Linked DNA regions of Arabidopsis thaliana. The protein of the gene in region 1 interacts with the protein of each later gene in a pairwise test. Each region holds a gene or a part of one and is shown on either strand. Other genes may lie near its edges. The genes, in order: CSD1 and HIPP20.

Region 1 (8,397 bases):
TGCTGCGGTTCTGCTGAAGTAGCTGATGCCACACTTGTGCTTTCTACCTCCAGTTCTACTTCGCCATGGCTTAAAAAGGTCAGTGTGTTGTTCTTAAACATTTATAAGTAGAGGCATCTTTAAGCAACTAAGAACATTTTATCACATCTGTGTAAACCTAGATCTGTGTATATAATATGTTCCTTCTGCTTAAAACTCTGGATACCTGGGCATTTGATTATGCAACTAGCCTTGGCCTGGACAGCCTATGAAAATCTTAACACCACTTTCAGATATTGATGCAATGCTTTATTTAATTAGACAAAGGGACAAAGCATTTCAGCTTGGCTCCAGTCGCTTGCTTTACAATATTTGTTATGTTGCACATTGACTCGGTGTAGGCGTTGTCCACTAATAATCTAATTAGCATCTTAACTTATATTTGTTTCCATCAGGTTCTGGAGCCAACAAGAACAGTTGTATTTGTTAATACAGGTTTTTGGCTACTTACTAGTTGCTTTTTTTTTCACATGAGCGCTTTGCCATATGGGCTGGAGTTTTCACGAGACTATATGATATGTTTTTGTAGATATGCTGCGTGCTTTTGAAGCTAGGGATCAGAATGCGATCAACAATCCAGTTGAAGCTTCCATAATAGCTGAGGTACTGTTAAGTATGCAAGATGCATTTAAACTTATGAAAAAGTGGGCTAACTGCTTTACTTAGATTGTAGAGGAGCTAGTTAACAATGGAGTGGATAGTAAAGATATTGGAATCATTACTCCTTATAACTCACAAGCCAGCCTCATTCAACATGCCATTCCGACAACTCCTGTGGAGATACATACTATTGACAAATATCAGGTTTGCCTCTAGGACCTACCGTTCTTCTTTTCATGACTATCTTGATTTGGCAAGTGCTCGATAACCAACGTTTGATGAGCTCACATTTTGTAGGGAAGAGATAAAGACTGCATATTGGTATCTTTTGTGAGATCGCGAGAGAAACCAAGGAGCTCTGCTTCTTCACTGCTCGGAGATTGGCATAGGATCAACGTTGCTTTGACACGAGCAAAGGTGAGACTGAGAGAACAACTGATGTGGTGTTGAGTAATGTTGTTTATTCCATCGATCATTGATTGAAATTTGTTTGGGTTTGACAGAAAAAGCTGATAATGGTGGGATCACAAAGAACACTCTCAAGAGTTCCACTTCTGATGCTTCTTCTAAACAAGGTTAAGGAGCAGTCAGGTATCTTGAATCTGTTGCCGGGAGATTTAAAACCATAACAACTCATCAAGAAACGTTTCAAATATCACAATTTTAACTTGTATCTCCATTTTTGTCCAAAAGGAATGATAATGTATAATCGATTTACTTTCCGAGTCTGAATTTGTTGATAAGAAAGAAATCAGGAGAGCATGAATCACTTGCATAATGACATGTAACAGAAAAGCGGAGATATTGTAATGATGGAGAAGTTTCATTTGAAGGTTAGCTCAGTTAACGTTATGACAGTAGATTTTGAACGAACAAAGAAGTTTGTGTTTGTAAAAACATTCGCATATTGAAGTACCATATCCAGGACTCTTGTTACCTTTAAGAACTTATAACAGTAAATCAACTCTTTTTTATTCATGAAATAATAAAAGTACGGAATTTTCTCTGTTTTCTGTCTGAATTAAAAATGCTTTGAGCCACACTAAGCTCATAGGTTTTTAGCCACACACCAGAAGATACACACAACTACCAAACCCAGGTCTAAGGTTGGACCTCCTTATTACATCAATCTCTTCTTTGGAAACGTAGCAGCTTTAGCCCTGGAGACCAATGATGCCTGCGAAGTCATAGACAAAAGGTCAATCAGTTTGATAATTTTACCATTCAGTTGGACCCCCAAAATGCAAGATAATAATAGTCAATAGATAAACCAAGATGAACCCCGAGTTACCAGAGAATCAATGGAGTCTAAGGTGACAATGATGGTAATGATCAAGATTAAATAGAATATACATGGTTTTCACAGGAGATGTGAGAAAAATGTAATTTTGTTTTACTTACCGCAAGCAACACGGCCGCCTGCGTTTCCAGTAGCCAGGCTGAGTTCATGGCCTCCTGAAATGTAAAACACCAATGACACTAGGTTATAAACTGTTCTTAGGATGGATGTTGAATCATAAGCATTCTACATTGGATGCCCTCAAACGGACTGGCTAACTTTTAAATTCTGTTAGCATAATATGGGTAAATAAAATCTCAAGAAAATAAATGGTCAAAGGTCATTACCCTTTCCGAGGTCATCAGGGTCTGCATGGACAACAACAGCCCTACCAACAATAGAGTTTGGTCCAGTAAGAGGAATCTGTTAAGCCAACACAAAATGTATCTTAAGAGATTGGTTCACTACAGCAGGTTTGGATTAGGAAAAAAGCATAAAAAGGTACACAGCTATAAACCTGGCAATCAGTGATTGTGAAGGTGGCAGTTCCTGAGAAAAGCAAAACAAAAGCTTTTATGTAAATCCATGAACACTACCGCTGGTCAAAGGTGACAACTGTACTATACAACTAAGACTGCAAAATCAAATTTGAGAGAGTAGCGAAATTTGATGCAAAACAGCTCTAAATAAGCTTGAGATGAGGGATACAAATGTTGAGAAGGCATACCATCATCTCCAACAGTGATGTTTCCTAGATCACCAGCATGTCGATTAGCATCCTCAGGGGCACCGTGTGTTTTACCATCGGGGTTGAAATGTGGACCTAAAATAGGAATTTAATAACAAGTTCAGTTACTTTTGGCGATAATTAAAGTTCCCAATACGAAACATAAATATAAGCTCCAAAAGTTTCTAATCCATTGAAAATTTGCAGAGAGGTATGCATAAGAGTTACCAGTAGACATGCAACCGTTAGTGGTGTCACCAAGAGCATGGACATGGAAACCATGAAGACCAGGCTTAAGGCCAGAAACTGTTCCACTCACAGTGGTCACACCTGCAAAAAACCCAAACAAAGAACTCAATCATTTGAGAGGAAGGAAAAAAAAGATAGGCTTCAAAGATCTTATAAAGCACTCTTATAAAGAACTACCATCGCCTTCCTGGGTGAAAAAGATAGTCCCCGTAACACCCTCACTGCTGTTCAAAACTGCAACTCCTTTCGCCATTGTTACTTGGCCTTTGTGATCTGTAAAAACATAAACATAAACCAATACATATACAAATAAGTAAAGATCCAGAAAAAAACAAATGGTTCTACACAACATTAAATTAGCTCAACAGACAAGAAACAGAATTTGAAAACCCAAAAACATCAATCTCAACTAAGCTTTAATACGCACCAAAACATAGATCCTAATCCCATTATAAGAACACATATACCAGATATTCAACGATCTAAGCCATAATAACTCTTACTAGTTCACATAAAAAGGTCAAGGCATCTTCAGAAGAGTGTGATACATCCAAAGAAAACAAGCAAAGGAATCGGTAGATCCGCCGATCATAAATCGAAAAAAACATTTCCTCAAAGATCTATACGTAGATTCGGCGGAGTTGGAATCGGAAAAGTTCGAAATCAGCACAGACGAGGACAAGAATCGATTTAAGAATCCAAAGTGAAGAATCGATCTAAGATTTGAAACAAATTAAAACCAAAAAGGAAAGCAAACATACCTCAGGAAACCCCTTTGGAAAGAATCAAGTGCTTGAGCTATCAAAAATGCTGAATTTTCTCTCTGAATGTTTTTGCTTCGTCTCTCTTTGGTTACTTGTTTTCTATATAGCCCACGAGGTCCAAAAGCTGGGTAGGTACGTACGTGATTAGCATTAATTTATTTCTTACTTGAAAAAAGCCACGTCAGGATAATCCAAGATAGACTTTTCCTAAGTTTGACTCTTCTCTGCTGATGTGGTAAAATTTGATTGGATAAATACTGTAAAACATTAAGTTTAAGTCATCGTCATTGAATTTAAATTACGTATGTCGTATAATTATTTCTAAGACGTTGGCTCAATTATAAATTTCATAAAATCTTAAGAACTAATTTTAACAAAATACAGAAAATATCATTTGTATTTTTAATAATATAATCTATAAACATATATATATATATTTATGAGAGTCTGTCAAATTTGTATGTAGCTAATTTCTTTGGAGAAGAAGAAGGGAACCTTTGATGGATTTGTAATGTTAGACTATATATGCCTATCTAGATGCATGCATCTCCTAATTAACCTAGCTAGCTACAAGAGGTTAAAGATAATGGATGATCACCTATAAGTCTAGAACGTTGATATATAAACTCTGTTATGCGTATTATATCAAAATTTTGGCATATTATTCTCTTTGCAGGTGACATGATATTTGTATGTTGTTTATACACTAGAAAAAAATATTGTGATTTTGTTCCACTTCCAACCATCAGAGGCACTATTTATGCGTTCCCAAATTGTTATCTCCATAACAAATACCTGATTGTTTTACGACTATAACAGCCAATGTATATAAAAGACTTAAAAACTAAAATAGGCTGCATGGTCAGTGATTGCGCTTAAGAAGTTTTTAGTCATATTTTTTGTTTTGTCGTTCCGTATAAATTTTGGCTTTAAGAAAAAGACAGTGACTTTTCACCCAAAAAAAAAAAAAATACTTCTTAATGTTTTGAGATATTAGTAATTGCCAATCAGTGAGTGTAGTTATTTTCATTATGTTCATTTTAGCTTGTTAAAGAAATTAATATAGGATATTAAGCCGAAAGTGGATGATGCTCTTGAATTGAAGTTAAAAACAGTCTGCTTATCAAATCTTAAAAATCATGCATAACGTGGGTGCTATCACTGAGTTTAAATCTGATACAGACTGATTCAACCATTTGGAAGCTAATGGAGGAGCGGCCGGCTATAAGCTCTCCCCAACACAACACACACAAAGATTGCAACATGATATATAAGTTATAGGCAGCCAATGAAGCCAATGGATAAATCATAGAAACACCTGAAACGTAAGAGGTAGCTGGACAGAGATTACAAACCGATCCAGACTGAGAGATTCAATATGGAAATATAGGAGATTTGTGAATGTTAGAATAAGATTATGTTTTCTATGCATCGACATATTACAAAGTAGAAAGATATTTTGGGCCAAATTACCAAATCTCTATGAGAGTATAATTAGGATTACGTATTCAAATCTCGCCTTTGTGGAAAGCGAGAGAGATGAATGGGAAAAGCAAAAGATAGGAAAGAAATTAAAAGGGAAGCAAAAGAAGTTGGTGATCCGAATCAGAATCACGCGTGTAATCCTCTCAAAGCATTCATATTACACTCATTGAAAAAAGAAAAAAAGGTACATATTCACAATCACATATATATATTATTTCTGGCATCTAACGTCGAATGTAATCTCACTTAATTTTTTGTTTTTTACGATAATTGTTACAAAAGTATCGAAAAATAGTCGTCAGAAATTATAGTTTACTAAATTGCTGTTAGGTACAACAGATATTCACCATCTCTGAATCTCAGTACCATACTTTTTCTTAAAAAAAAATTCAATTTTAATGTGTTTGAACACATTAATACATTTCCATACTTGGCCTTCACTAAGATTAGTTTTTGCACTTCTCTCTTTCTCTCGATCGCTGCTTCTTCGTCGCTCAATCTCAAGCTCCGTTCCGTTAGTTCTTCGTCGGAGAGACGGTAAGGTTTCCTTCCGATTTCATCATTCTCGTTGATCATCTTCTTCTCTGGTTTTTGTTTTTGTTTCGAAACTAGGTTCCTCTTCCTCGAGTTTCCTGATTTTTGTCTTTAGAATCTGCTTTAGAAATCGAAATCGCTAGGGCTCGGGAAGATCTATGTGATCTGAGTTTACTATTGGCTACCGGATCCCGAGGAGTCGCTCCTCGTAAACGTCGTCGTTTTATTTCGCCCTTTTGTTTTAATACTATCAGGCCTGTGGTGGCGTAACTAGATCACACTGGGGGACTAGGACGATTTGGTTTTCCGGCTAGTCGAAAGCGCGTTGCCCAAAAAATTGTGTCGGTCGGATCGCTGAGAAAAAACGAGCGCATTAAGGTAAAATATAGTCACGTTTGAGTCTTCGGGCGAGTTCGTATCGTCAGATTTGAGAACGCGTCGTCGACGAGTTAGTGCGGTGGTTTGTTTATGGTGACGGAAGACGAGAATCCGGACTCGAAAGAGTGTAACAGAGAAACTTTTCTGATTGTTGACTGTTTGGTTAGATTTCGTCATGTTCCCAATGGGAGAGCGGGTTTATGATTGTCCCAAATAGAGTATAGATCTGAGTTTGTTTTTCGCTCTAGTGTCGACAGTTTCATACTTGAATGGTTCTGGGCTGATCTTTCTCTTATTATTTTTTTGTTGAAATAGGGGTGGAGAGAATCCTGCTGCAAGTGGTAGCTGTTTGATACTTGAGTCATTTTGTCACAGCAACATGAATATGCCGCTGTTGGATATTCAACCACGAACGTTGCAGTTTGCAGGTAAGATATAAGGGGACTGATTCTTATCAATTGTAAAATGATCATTTTTAAGTTCCAGTGAGTAGACACTGTGGTCCCGTTAATAGTTTCTTATTTTTTTGTAAAATGTGGATTTCATAGCGAGGGTGTGTTATTCCTTAAGCAAAGTGGCCAACATGTTCCAGTTATGAATACCGAGTTTTCTGAATTCTCACTATTTCGTTAGAATTCTATCATAGTGGTGCTATTGTTTGTGGGTCTATTCTCCTGTAAGATGAATTGATGTGATGTTAATGTGGCTGTTGTTTGGAGGAATCTTCTAACTCTTTCCTGCTACTGGATTTGTATGTGCTGACATTCTGTGATGTGGTTTCTTACCTCTCATATCGATTCTGAGGATCTATAATAAAATATGGAAGTTGTAAAAGGAATATCTTTGCCTTGGCATTGTTATCCTTGTAATACTAACTGGTTTCATCTTTTGTAGTTGACCTGAAGAAGCAAACTTCCTGCGTGGTACAGCTAACCAATACTACCCATCATTATGTTGCATTTAAGGTCTAAAGAAGATTCTTCTCAAACTTTTTCTCTTTCTTTCTGGCTTCAGGATTTCGAATATCTTATAAAATTTCTGAGAAAAAGTATTCTTTCTGTATACAAACCTAAACTAGATGTGGTTTTTGACAGGTTAAAACCACATCACCAAAGAAGTACTGTGTTCGTCCAAATGTTGGTGTTGTTGCACCTAAATCAACCTGTGAATTCACTGGTATGCCTACTTTTTATATTCTTCCCAGCAATGCTTGAATTTCTTGCACCGACGTTCTTAGGCCGATGTGATAAACTGTTGCATGATGTCTACATGGGGCGGGAAATGAACTGGAATATATGTATAGATCTGTCCTTTGTCCCTTGGACTTAAACAGCGTTTGGACATTGTTTTAAGATCCTAGGCTTTTAGAGTTTAGTGTAGTTGTTCAAGAGAGAAGGTATCTGCTCCGGATGGAATTATTAAAGTTCAAGTTATTACTCATTACGTGGAACCTGCATTTTTGGGTTTGTTTGAGCATTCAAAATTTTAAACTGGTTGATGATGAATGGGTTCTTGAAATTCAAATTCAGTCAATGCTTTGGGTTATTGAGTTGTATATGTTATTTATGCAGTCATTATGCAAGCTTTTAAAGAACCACCTCCAGATATGGTTTGCAAAGACAAATTCTTAATCCAGAGTACTGCTGTATCTGCGGAAACAACTGATGAAGACATCACAGCTAGCATGGTAAGCATTCCAACACTTGTTGACCTTCTTTATCATTAATTTCAGTTATTTGGTCTGTCAAGTATATATGTACACTCATTTATTCTTGGCAGTTTTCGAAAGCCGAAGGCAAACACATAGAGGAGAACAAACTCAGGGTCACGCTCGTACCGCCCTCTGACTCACCTGAACTATCTCCAATCAATACACCGAAGCAGGGAGCAGTATTTGAAGATTCCATCCTCAAGGATCGTTTATATAGCCAGTCAGAGACCCTAGCTCCGCCACAATATGTAAGAAGAGTATTTACCCCTTTTCGCAACAACTTTTATGATTTGTTAGTAAGATGAAGAGTAATTTGCCAAGCAGTGAGTGTAGTTATGTTCCAGCAAGTTCATTTTAGCTTAGCTTATAATCACAGTTATTGGGTGCAATAGGGATTTTCTTGTAGTTATTTGTTTATTCTCAAAATTTATTTTTCTAGGAGGGTGAGATTGTAAAAGAGCCTAGGATGGTTGGACATGATGAGTTAAAGGCAGCCGACAATGCAAAGGAGTTAAAGACACCAAAAATGGCCACAGTGGATTTTGTGGAAGATCGATATACTGCTAATGACTTGAAGGCAACTAAAGATAGCTACGATTCATCGAGGATGGCAAAAGAAACTGGATTCGAT
Region 2 (8,397 bases), about 24 Mb from region 1:
CCTAGAATTTATCTTCCAAAAAGGAATGGTTTTTTTTTTAATTAGTAAGCTTCTACATTATAAAACTAGAATTTGAATATTATATGTACATGACAAGAGTATTGATTTTTCTTAAAAAATGAATATATATATATACGTATATAATATATCCATTAATTATATGGTTTATATCTATCAAAAATTAACTGAAAATTAAACAGGGTTCATACTTCATAATTCTTTTTGTGAATAACAAGGTTAATAGTTCTGTCTTCTCAAATGGATCTTTTACGAAAAAATCAACATTCTTCTAATGGAACTAATACAAGAAAGAAACCATGGAAACTTTTGGGCCTAGTTCGTCCACTATATTTCGTCCCGTTATTAAGATATTTTCTCTAACTTACGCGTTACAAAAAAAATTAGAATGAGTTTTTCCAATCTCTCAAAAATTGTCTTAACCATGTTATCGTTTTAGCTCCTTCAGCCTCCCGTAACATGCATTATCGCAGACCTATAATGGTTAAAGCTAAGGTTATCATCCAAGCTTGTGGGAGGTCTCACAAACATTCCTTCACTAAACAGATCTTTATTCGCATGTCCAAACACCAAATTTCAACCATTGAAATTTGTAGTTATGTTTGCCTTAAAGGTCGAACCATTTCTCTGCGAGTTAGCCGAAATCTAGCAAACCTAATGTTCTCTAAAACTAATTCTTTTTGTTTTTTCTGTTTTTTTTTATAAACTTTTTCTTCATTAATATTGAAAGTAGCGAAAAAGTAACCCATCAGTCTATAAAAGACTGACAATATAAAATATACCTAGCCAGGCCCAAAATGAACCCAGCATCAACAAATAATTTTTCAAAAGGGAGAATCAAAAACAGCCCAAAAACCTAACATATTCTTTATTTGTTACAAGTTGGAACTATAGTTCCTTTTAAACTTCTCTTGATGCTACTCCAAAGATTATCATCTAGCATGAGTTCTAACGTAAAAAACACGCAAATAGTGGTTATACATATATATATATATATACTCTATGCTTTTCATTTGAATACACATCATATATTATACAACTACAATATATATTCATGCTTTTAAAAAATAATTCAGACAAATCCAAGAAACCTAAAAATTAAATTTAACAAGAAAATACACCAAATTAACTTTTTGAAGAGTGTGAGGAAAAAAATCAAATTAAACCAAAATTAATCAATTTGACTCTGAATCAACAAAATTTAAAACAAAATCAACCATTATATATACAAAGTTCCTATTATATACAGATTTTGTGATCAATCCAGTTCTACAAATTTCAGGTTTGGTTCGTTTTTGGTTTCACAGATAATTGCTAGTACTATTGACTTTTGAGCCTGTCTATGTTTTGGTGTTCCTAGTCAAAATGACTGGAAGCCGTCGATGTCTGGGGTACTGTACACGTGGAGGTTATCCAAAAGCCCATCTCCCACCTAGCTAAAAATGCGGTTGTCGCCATCAAACGACGATTTTACCTTAAGTCCCACCTTGATATGTTCAAACGCGCGTTTGCGTTTTCCCTTCGTGTGCCGCTTCTCATCTCTCCATTTGTTTGCGTCCTTTTCACAGTTTCAAATCTAACATATCCATTTTTGTGTTTCAACTTTCGAGTTATGCGAAGTCATAATTTAATAATCAGTCATATCAGTTTCGTCCCAAACAGTTGATTTGAAATATCCAGCGAGATACTTAAATGTCATCTCATCATAAGCACCATAATATTATGAAATTTCAAATTCTAATATTCTTGGGATTTTATTTAAAGATCACTCATTCTAAGGATTAAACAGGTGTTTGTTTTACGTGAGGCATTAATTTGTTTTGAGTTGTACAAGAATAAAATCTCCCAGTATATTATATACAAATTCACAGCAAGGTTTGAACTACAAAAATATATTAAGATTAGACTATAATGTATTAAGGTTGGATATGTGCACGGTGCCACAGTTTTATTCGAAGAATAATATATTACATTTCTGATCATCCATGCATGTAACAAACATACTCAAAATAGTTATAAAGAAAACAAGAAGCAGACCAAATTGTGCAATAAATTAACCGTTTCGTAAGAAACACAATTTCTAATTTCACTTACAAATTGACTTGTCTCCTTGCGAGTGGTCGGAAATATTTTGCTATGGTTACGTTCCAAGTTAATTACGGTTACTACTAATTTTCTTGATTAGTTACGCGTCATTTTCTAAACCTAAAGTCATTTACTAAGAAAGTTATGACTACAAATACCTTTCTTTTTTTATGGCTGCATCATCAGCCGCATATCTACTTCGATTGAGGAACAAACTATATTTAATGGCTCCGAAGAAAATCTAGTTAAACGCTGTTGGATCTTCTATGTGTCAAAAACTACGTAATGGAAGATAAAATATAGAGATAAAAAGTTGATATTTTATTATCTGATGATGTATGGATTTCACTTGGCACAGCCGCATAGATTACCACAAAACCACTTCACAACACTTTTTTCGCTGACTAATTTGCCTTCACAAAACCAACAAAACTCCAACAGCACGTAGCTTTTTGTTTATTTTCTCTTAATTAATTTTTAACCAACCTGAGCACTTAACCGATTTTCCTTTTTTCGTATTTATTTTTAAATAACTTCAATTAATTCCACTAATATAATAATTTGCATAATCGTAAATAAAAACATAAATCACCCGAAAATACTTTGATATTAAACACATTGATTATACACATTCCACTAACTTATTTTGAAATATTGAAATTTTTACACAACTAGCTATAGTTGGTTCTTCCTCTCTGCATTAACATAACAAAAAGAGAGAGAGAGAGAGAGCCAATTGCTTGATAAAAACGTTACATGCTGTGGATAATACTACTAGAGTAAATTATTTATTACATAACGGTGCAAGCGTTGGGATTCTCGTCGCTAAAAAGAGAAATGTAGTGGTTCTCGGGAGCTCCCGGCAACAGCTGCAACTGCGACTGCTCAGATTTCCTGACATAACCGGCCGGAGCTTTTTTGTCGTAAGTTCCGACCGCGTATGGATATGCGACCATGTTGTAAGGAACGTACGGCCATATCTCCGCTTTTTTCCCTGTCCTTTCGATTCTCTTTAATACCTTCTTTGGTTCCACGTATCCACTCACCGTCACTTTATGTATCTTTCTATTCACCTCCACCGATTTCACACCTGCGCGATTTTTATATTGATATAAAGACCGTGTTAATTTGGCTTGTTGTATGTAGAAATGGTTTGGCGTGCTTACATGAGTACTCGTTTAATGGAAATCAAAATTACAAAAAAACTTACAGAAACCATTCATGACATAAGTAGTCTACGAGTTGGAGATTCGAACCTTTCATGGAGGAAACCGCGTTCTTGACTCTGCGTTCACAACCATCGCAGTCCATTTTCACCTTTATATTCACCGTCTGCATGACTTTCCGCTTCCTCCTTTTTCTGGTGACGCGGAAGTAGTCGGAGATATACTCGGAAAGAGAATCAAGAGCTCCCATGTCTATTACTCTCACCAAGAAAGATCAGAGATGCATATATTATGGACTGGACTTGACCATATTTATAGCAAGTACATGGTGACTTAATGGACAAGTGTTATGCCGAGGATTAAGTACAATTAAATGTGTTTAATATTCGTAAAGTGTAATTAGAGAGATGTATATGTGGCCCTCTAATGATGTTTTCCTCCAAATACACACGTTGGACAACGAGGCCAATGTTTTTGGGCTAAAGCACACGACTCCCGCCGATTTCTTTGTTACAAAATTCTAATATCCGTTTTATATTAAAAAGCTAACTATAATAATAATAATAAACAGAAGAGTTTGTAGTTATAATTTCTTTTTTTCTAACAATGTCCGATCGGTCGTTTATAATAAAACAATGTCACGGGATTAGAGGTTTATCATCCACATCACCTGAGTCACCTCAAAATTCACATGCGTCAAAGTTAATTCATTGAGAATGGCAATTATGGTTGTGTAGATTCTTCTTTTACCATCTAATCTTTTTCTTTTACAATTTTGTTTATGATCATTTTCGTCGTATACATATATATGATGTCGGTATGTATATATAAGTTTATGAAAAAATTGTAATCGTGTATTGAAAACGACATGACCCTTCTAATTAATTTAACACTTTTGTTACTTTGGATAGGTACACGATCGGATGAATGATAATAGGGTTTATAGATAAACTACACAATCACACATTCAATTATTTCAATTTAGGTCAGAAACAGTAAAAGGGAATAGTTATAAGAGAAAAATAGAAAGGAATGTAGCAATTTAAAGGGCAATGATTCGATGAGAAAAAATAAGGTGTGGGGGTCCGATCTTATACGAAGTAGACAACTCAATCAAACTATTTAGGTAGTCTATAGTTTGAAATAAGAATTGTTATAAAGCCCCTCCACATCTTTTTATTATGTACATTTAGACATTTTTGTTTTTTGCTTTATACTTTCCACCCTATAAACTTCGTTGGCATTTTCTTCTCTTACACCCCAATTATCATATTCTTCTTAGACCTCTTTTTTTTTTTCCTTTTACAAAATTATATTTTTTCTATTTTTCTCTTCTAAGCTACTCAACACAATTGATCGAATTTCAATTTTGAGTTAAAGTACCCCACGAGTAATTCTTGAAAAAAATTCAGCAATATACTAAAGAGGGGTGTTACCGATATGAAGTTAATTCCATAAGAGGGTTTCATTGAAATAGCCAGTGACAACATAAAATCTCGAGATTACCAAATCGACAGCTATTATATAGCATGCCATAGCATTTAGCATAGCCTCACTTTCAAAATTAAAGGTTACTAAATCAAGGAAACATAAGCTTTGATCAATGGATTATGCATGTCCACATCCTTCATTTACAAAAAAGAACACAACAACTGTTTTTAACTATCTACTATTTGTGAAAAGAAAAAATCATCATAGCCCATTCAATTACTTTGACCCATTCTTGTTTGTTTAATAACATTGACTTGTCCATTTCTCATAACGAAATAACAGTGTTTTCTATATGGTGACTACATCATACACTTTTGCTCGGATAGAAAACTGTCTCTAAATGCTCAGAGCTCTGAAATTTTGGATAGATCATAGATCATAACTATTCAATAGTCCAAAAATATCAAACAAAATGTAGTAATAGAGATAAACAAGAAGAGAAAACAGAGCCATGAAACCCACTTCAGCCAACAAGTTGGGTTTTCCTCAGCCTATCCATCTTTACAACCAAATCCGTGACTTTATCTTTCCGGCCTTCATCGAGAAGTGTTTGTTTAAGACGGCTAAACATATGTCCCGGTGGCCTAATACCCACATCCAACATCTCATTGAAATACTCACAAGCCTCGTCTAATTTGTTCTCATGGCACAGAGCTGTGATCAAACTTGAGAACATGTGCATTCCTGGAAGAACACCTTTCCCTTTCATCTCGTCCCAAATCTTGATCGCCATATCCAATCTCTCTTTGTTACAAAACATCCTCACCATGATCTCGTAAGTACTCACCGTCGGTTCACAACTCATCGTCTGATAAACTTCATACGCTTCTTTCGAGCGCTGCATTCTAATCAAATGATGAAGAATTATATCATAAGTTCTAGCATTTGGCCCAACCCCTTTTAATCTCATCTCATCAACGGTTTTGTATGCGTCTTCCATTCGCTGTGACCAGCAATAAGCACCTACTAGCGCATTGTAAGTAGGTGCTTCAAGAGGAAACCCGGAACTCTTTGATCTCTCAAAGAACTCAAGAGCATCATTCAACTTCTTCTCAGAGCCAAGTCCATTAATCAAACTACAGAAAATGTGAGGACTTGGCTTACAATTCCTCTGTTCCATCTCATTGAAGAATCTAATAGCTTCTTCATACTTCTTCGCCTTGCAATGCGCATTGATAATAATACCGTAAGCGACAACATCCGGTTCAAAACCTTCGTCTTTCATCTCTCTGTTAACCTCATCAACTCTCAAAAGATTCAACTCCTGACCCCAACCTTCAAGTAGAATAGTATAAGACTTAATATCAGGCTCAAACCTTTTCTTTTTCATTTTATCGAACACCTTCTGTGCATCCCCAACATTTCTAGATTTGCTCAAAGTATCAAGCATACGATTAAAATCACTTGATTCCATCTTAAACCCAAACTCTTCCATCTTATGAAACGCACCTATAGCTTCTTTAACTTTCCTAGCTCTAGCGTAACGTCTAGAGATAAGAGCAAATGTCTCTTTGCTCAAAAGCTTTTTTGCTTTCATGTCGTCTACTAAACTCCAAATGAGTTTGAATTGTTTGATCTTACCTAATGATTCGATCAATGCGTTGTAGTTTGAAGTAGTGTGCTTGAAACCCTTTTGATTCTCTGCCCATTTGAATACAGACAAAGCTAAAACACCAGCGTTGCTTAGCTTCTTCAGTACTTCTTCGATTAAGGCTGGTGAAAGTTTAACAGAAGCTTCGTTCAGCAAAGTTTCAACCTTTGAATCCGTGAATTTGGTGAGAATCTTGCAGATTCTCTCTGCGTCTTGTGAAGCATCATTAGCAGAAACTTGGGTTTCAACAGAAGAAGCGTGAAATGATCCGTAAAGTGTAAAGTTTGAAGCTTTATGAATCCATGGAATCGATTCGAGACTCGGTGACGAAGACGAAGAGATTCGAGAGTACACACGTCGAGAGAGATTCACTCCGGTGACTCTGAAGAATCGAGAGAAGACCATTGGAGGAGAAAGTTTAGATCTTTAACTTTCAATTAACTAAGATACAACAGAGGAACAAAGGTTTATCAAATTTGCGAACAAAAGTTCTCTAATGGCTTTAACAAAGGAATTACAAAATCTGGGAAAGAGAATAAAAATATCTCCTTTCTCTTCTCTTTCTCCTTCTCCTCGTATAAATACAGCAGCCACTGTGTTGTTGCCCAAAGAATTTAACCTTACAGAGACTGAAAACAATGTAGTCTCGTGTGTCGTATAATCACTTGCATTGATTCGATTGTGAATTCAAATCATCAAGAAAATTCGTTATTGTTTCGTCTAGCTTCTTAGCTTGAGGTCCAGCTTTGACAATGTTTACTTCATCCCACTCCGAGCAAGGATCTGTCCACCAGCTACTGTGGCTCGAGCACCAAGCGCCAGGAGTGACTCTGTAACGTCCACGTTTCAGGATCTCTCTATCGACCATGTCGAGTACTGGATCATCTTTCTTGAATTGTCTAGCGAAAGCTGCTCCGCTTTGAGCCATTTGGTCGAAATCCGATATAGTAAGGAAATGTGGTTCCATTTTTGGTGGACTGTCCCATATCATGTATCGTAAGTCCCCGTTGACTGTCGTGTTACTGAACTCCGGTGCGTTGCATATCACCGTGTGGAAGTAGCATTCTTCAGAGAGAATGACATTGTTAAAATACATGAGAAGGATTCTTGGTAAATTATCCCAACCGAAGATGCAGTATTCTAGGAAAGGTCTGCTTAGTACAATCCAAGGCGAGCCTGCAGTGATATCACAAACCAGCAACATGAGATTGTATACATATAATGAATGTAGCCAGAGAAAGTATTATTAGCTTCTGAATCTTTTGCCTGTAAAGACTTTGAATGCATCTGGTGTTGGTCGCTTTTCGGTAGCAGTGAAGAGCTGAGTTCTTCTAGCTAAGTAAAGTGCTGGATCAACAACAATAGGCTTGATTCTCTGAGATCTACATAAAGATCCATTATCATCATAATCCCCACCAAATGTACAAGAAACAGTTCAAGAGACTGGCAAAAGTTGTTTACTTACTCTTTCCAAGCAAGGTCACTAGTGTGATCAATAAAATTGAGACTTCTGTTCACCGAGGCAAACACATGAGATAGGTCTGAGAGAAATCATGAGCAAAGAAAATTCATTAGAATCCAGGTCATAAGAAGACAAACAAACAACCAGTGGAGTAATAAAGTTCTAAATCAGATTATTTGCCATAAAGAGATCAGTGAAAGTGATTACATTTCCACTTTATTTCCAGAAAAAGAGTATATATATTCTAGAGTATATCATAAACACTGCAATCTCAAGAAGCTAAGAGCAGAAACTAGAACATTAAAAAGCTCAAAGACAGGTCAAAAACAAAGATCTAGAGTGAAAATGAATCAAAATCACAAGCAAACTAAAAAGCTAGTTTCTTCTCTAGTTTAAGATTAAAATAGAAAGAAATCAAAATTAAAACATACCATCTTGAGTTATGAGAGGATAATCCAAAGCACTAAGCTCAATAAACCAATTCCAAGTAGGATCAAGCTTAAGAAGAATAGAAACAGCGTGAAGAGTAGAAGCAATCTTAGAAGCACCATTCTCAGACAAACGATCAACTTTCCCTAAAACAT

What was found.
Region 2: the proteins of CSD1 (region 1) and HIPP20 interact in a two-hybrid assay, tested with the Arabidopsis thaliana proteins (one large-scale study listed by BioGRID).

Annotation. Positions count from the first base shown.
Region 1 is NC_003070.9:2,822,450-2,830,846, reverse strand, and holds CSD1 (copper/zinc superoxide dismutase 1), read right to left. Parts: upstream 3,788-8,397; 5' UTR 3,656-3,787; intron 3,168-3,655; 5' UTR 3,148-3,167; coding exon 3,072-3,147; intron 2,976-3,071; coding exon 2,874-2,975; intron 2,742-2,873; coding exon 2,646-2,741; intron 2,468-2,645; coding exon 2,436-2,467; intron 2,342-2,435; coding exon 2,266-2,341; intron 2,095-2,265; coding exon 2,041-2,094; intron 1,817-2,040; coding exon 1,794-1,816; 3' UTR 1,532-1,793; downstream 1-1,531. Other genes in the region: emb2411 (DNA replication helicase), read left to right, coding at 1-78, 435-474, 569-642, 706-843, 937-1,056, 1,143-1,268; VAP27-2 (vamp/synaptobrevin-associated protein 27-2), read left to right, coding at 6,435-6,483, 6,950-7,020, 7,150-7,231, 7,627-7,742, 7,835-8,014, 8,206-8,397. UniProt on the Arabidopsis thaliana protein: Destroys radicals which are normally produced within the cells and which are toxic to biological systems.
Region 2 is NC_003070.9:26,800,428-26,808,824, forward strand, and holds HIPP20 (Heavy metal transport/detoxification superfamily protein), read right to left. Parts: upstream 3,866-8,397; 5' UTR 3,520-3,865; coding exon 3,360-3,519; intron 3,194-3,359; coding exon 2,895-3,193; 3' UTR 2,670-2,894; downstream 1-2,669. Other genes in the region: AT1G71060 (Tetratricopeptide repeat (TPR)-like superfamily protein), read right to left, coding at 5,224-6,756; AT1G71070 (Core-2/I-branching beta-1,6-N-acetylglucosaminyltransferase family protein), read right to left, coding at 7,013-7,527, 7,618-7,733, 7,817-7,892, 8,245-8,397. UniProt on the Arabidopsis thaliana protein: Heavy-metal-binding protein. Binds cadmium. May be involved in cadmium transport and play a role in cadmium detoxification.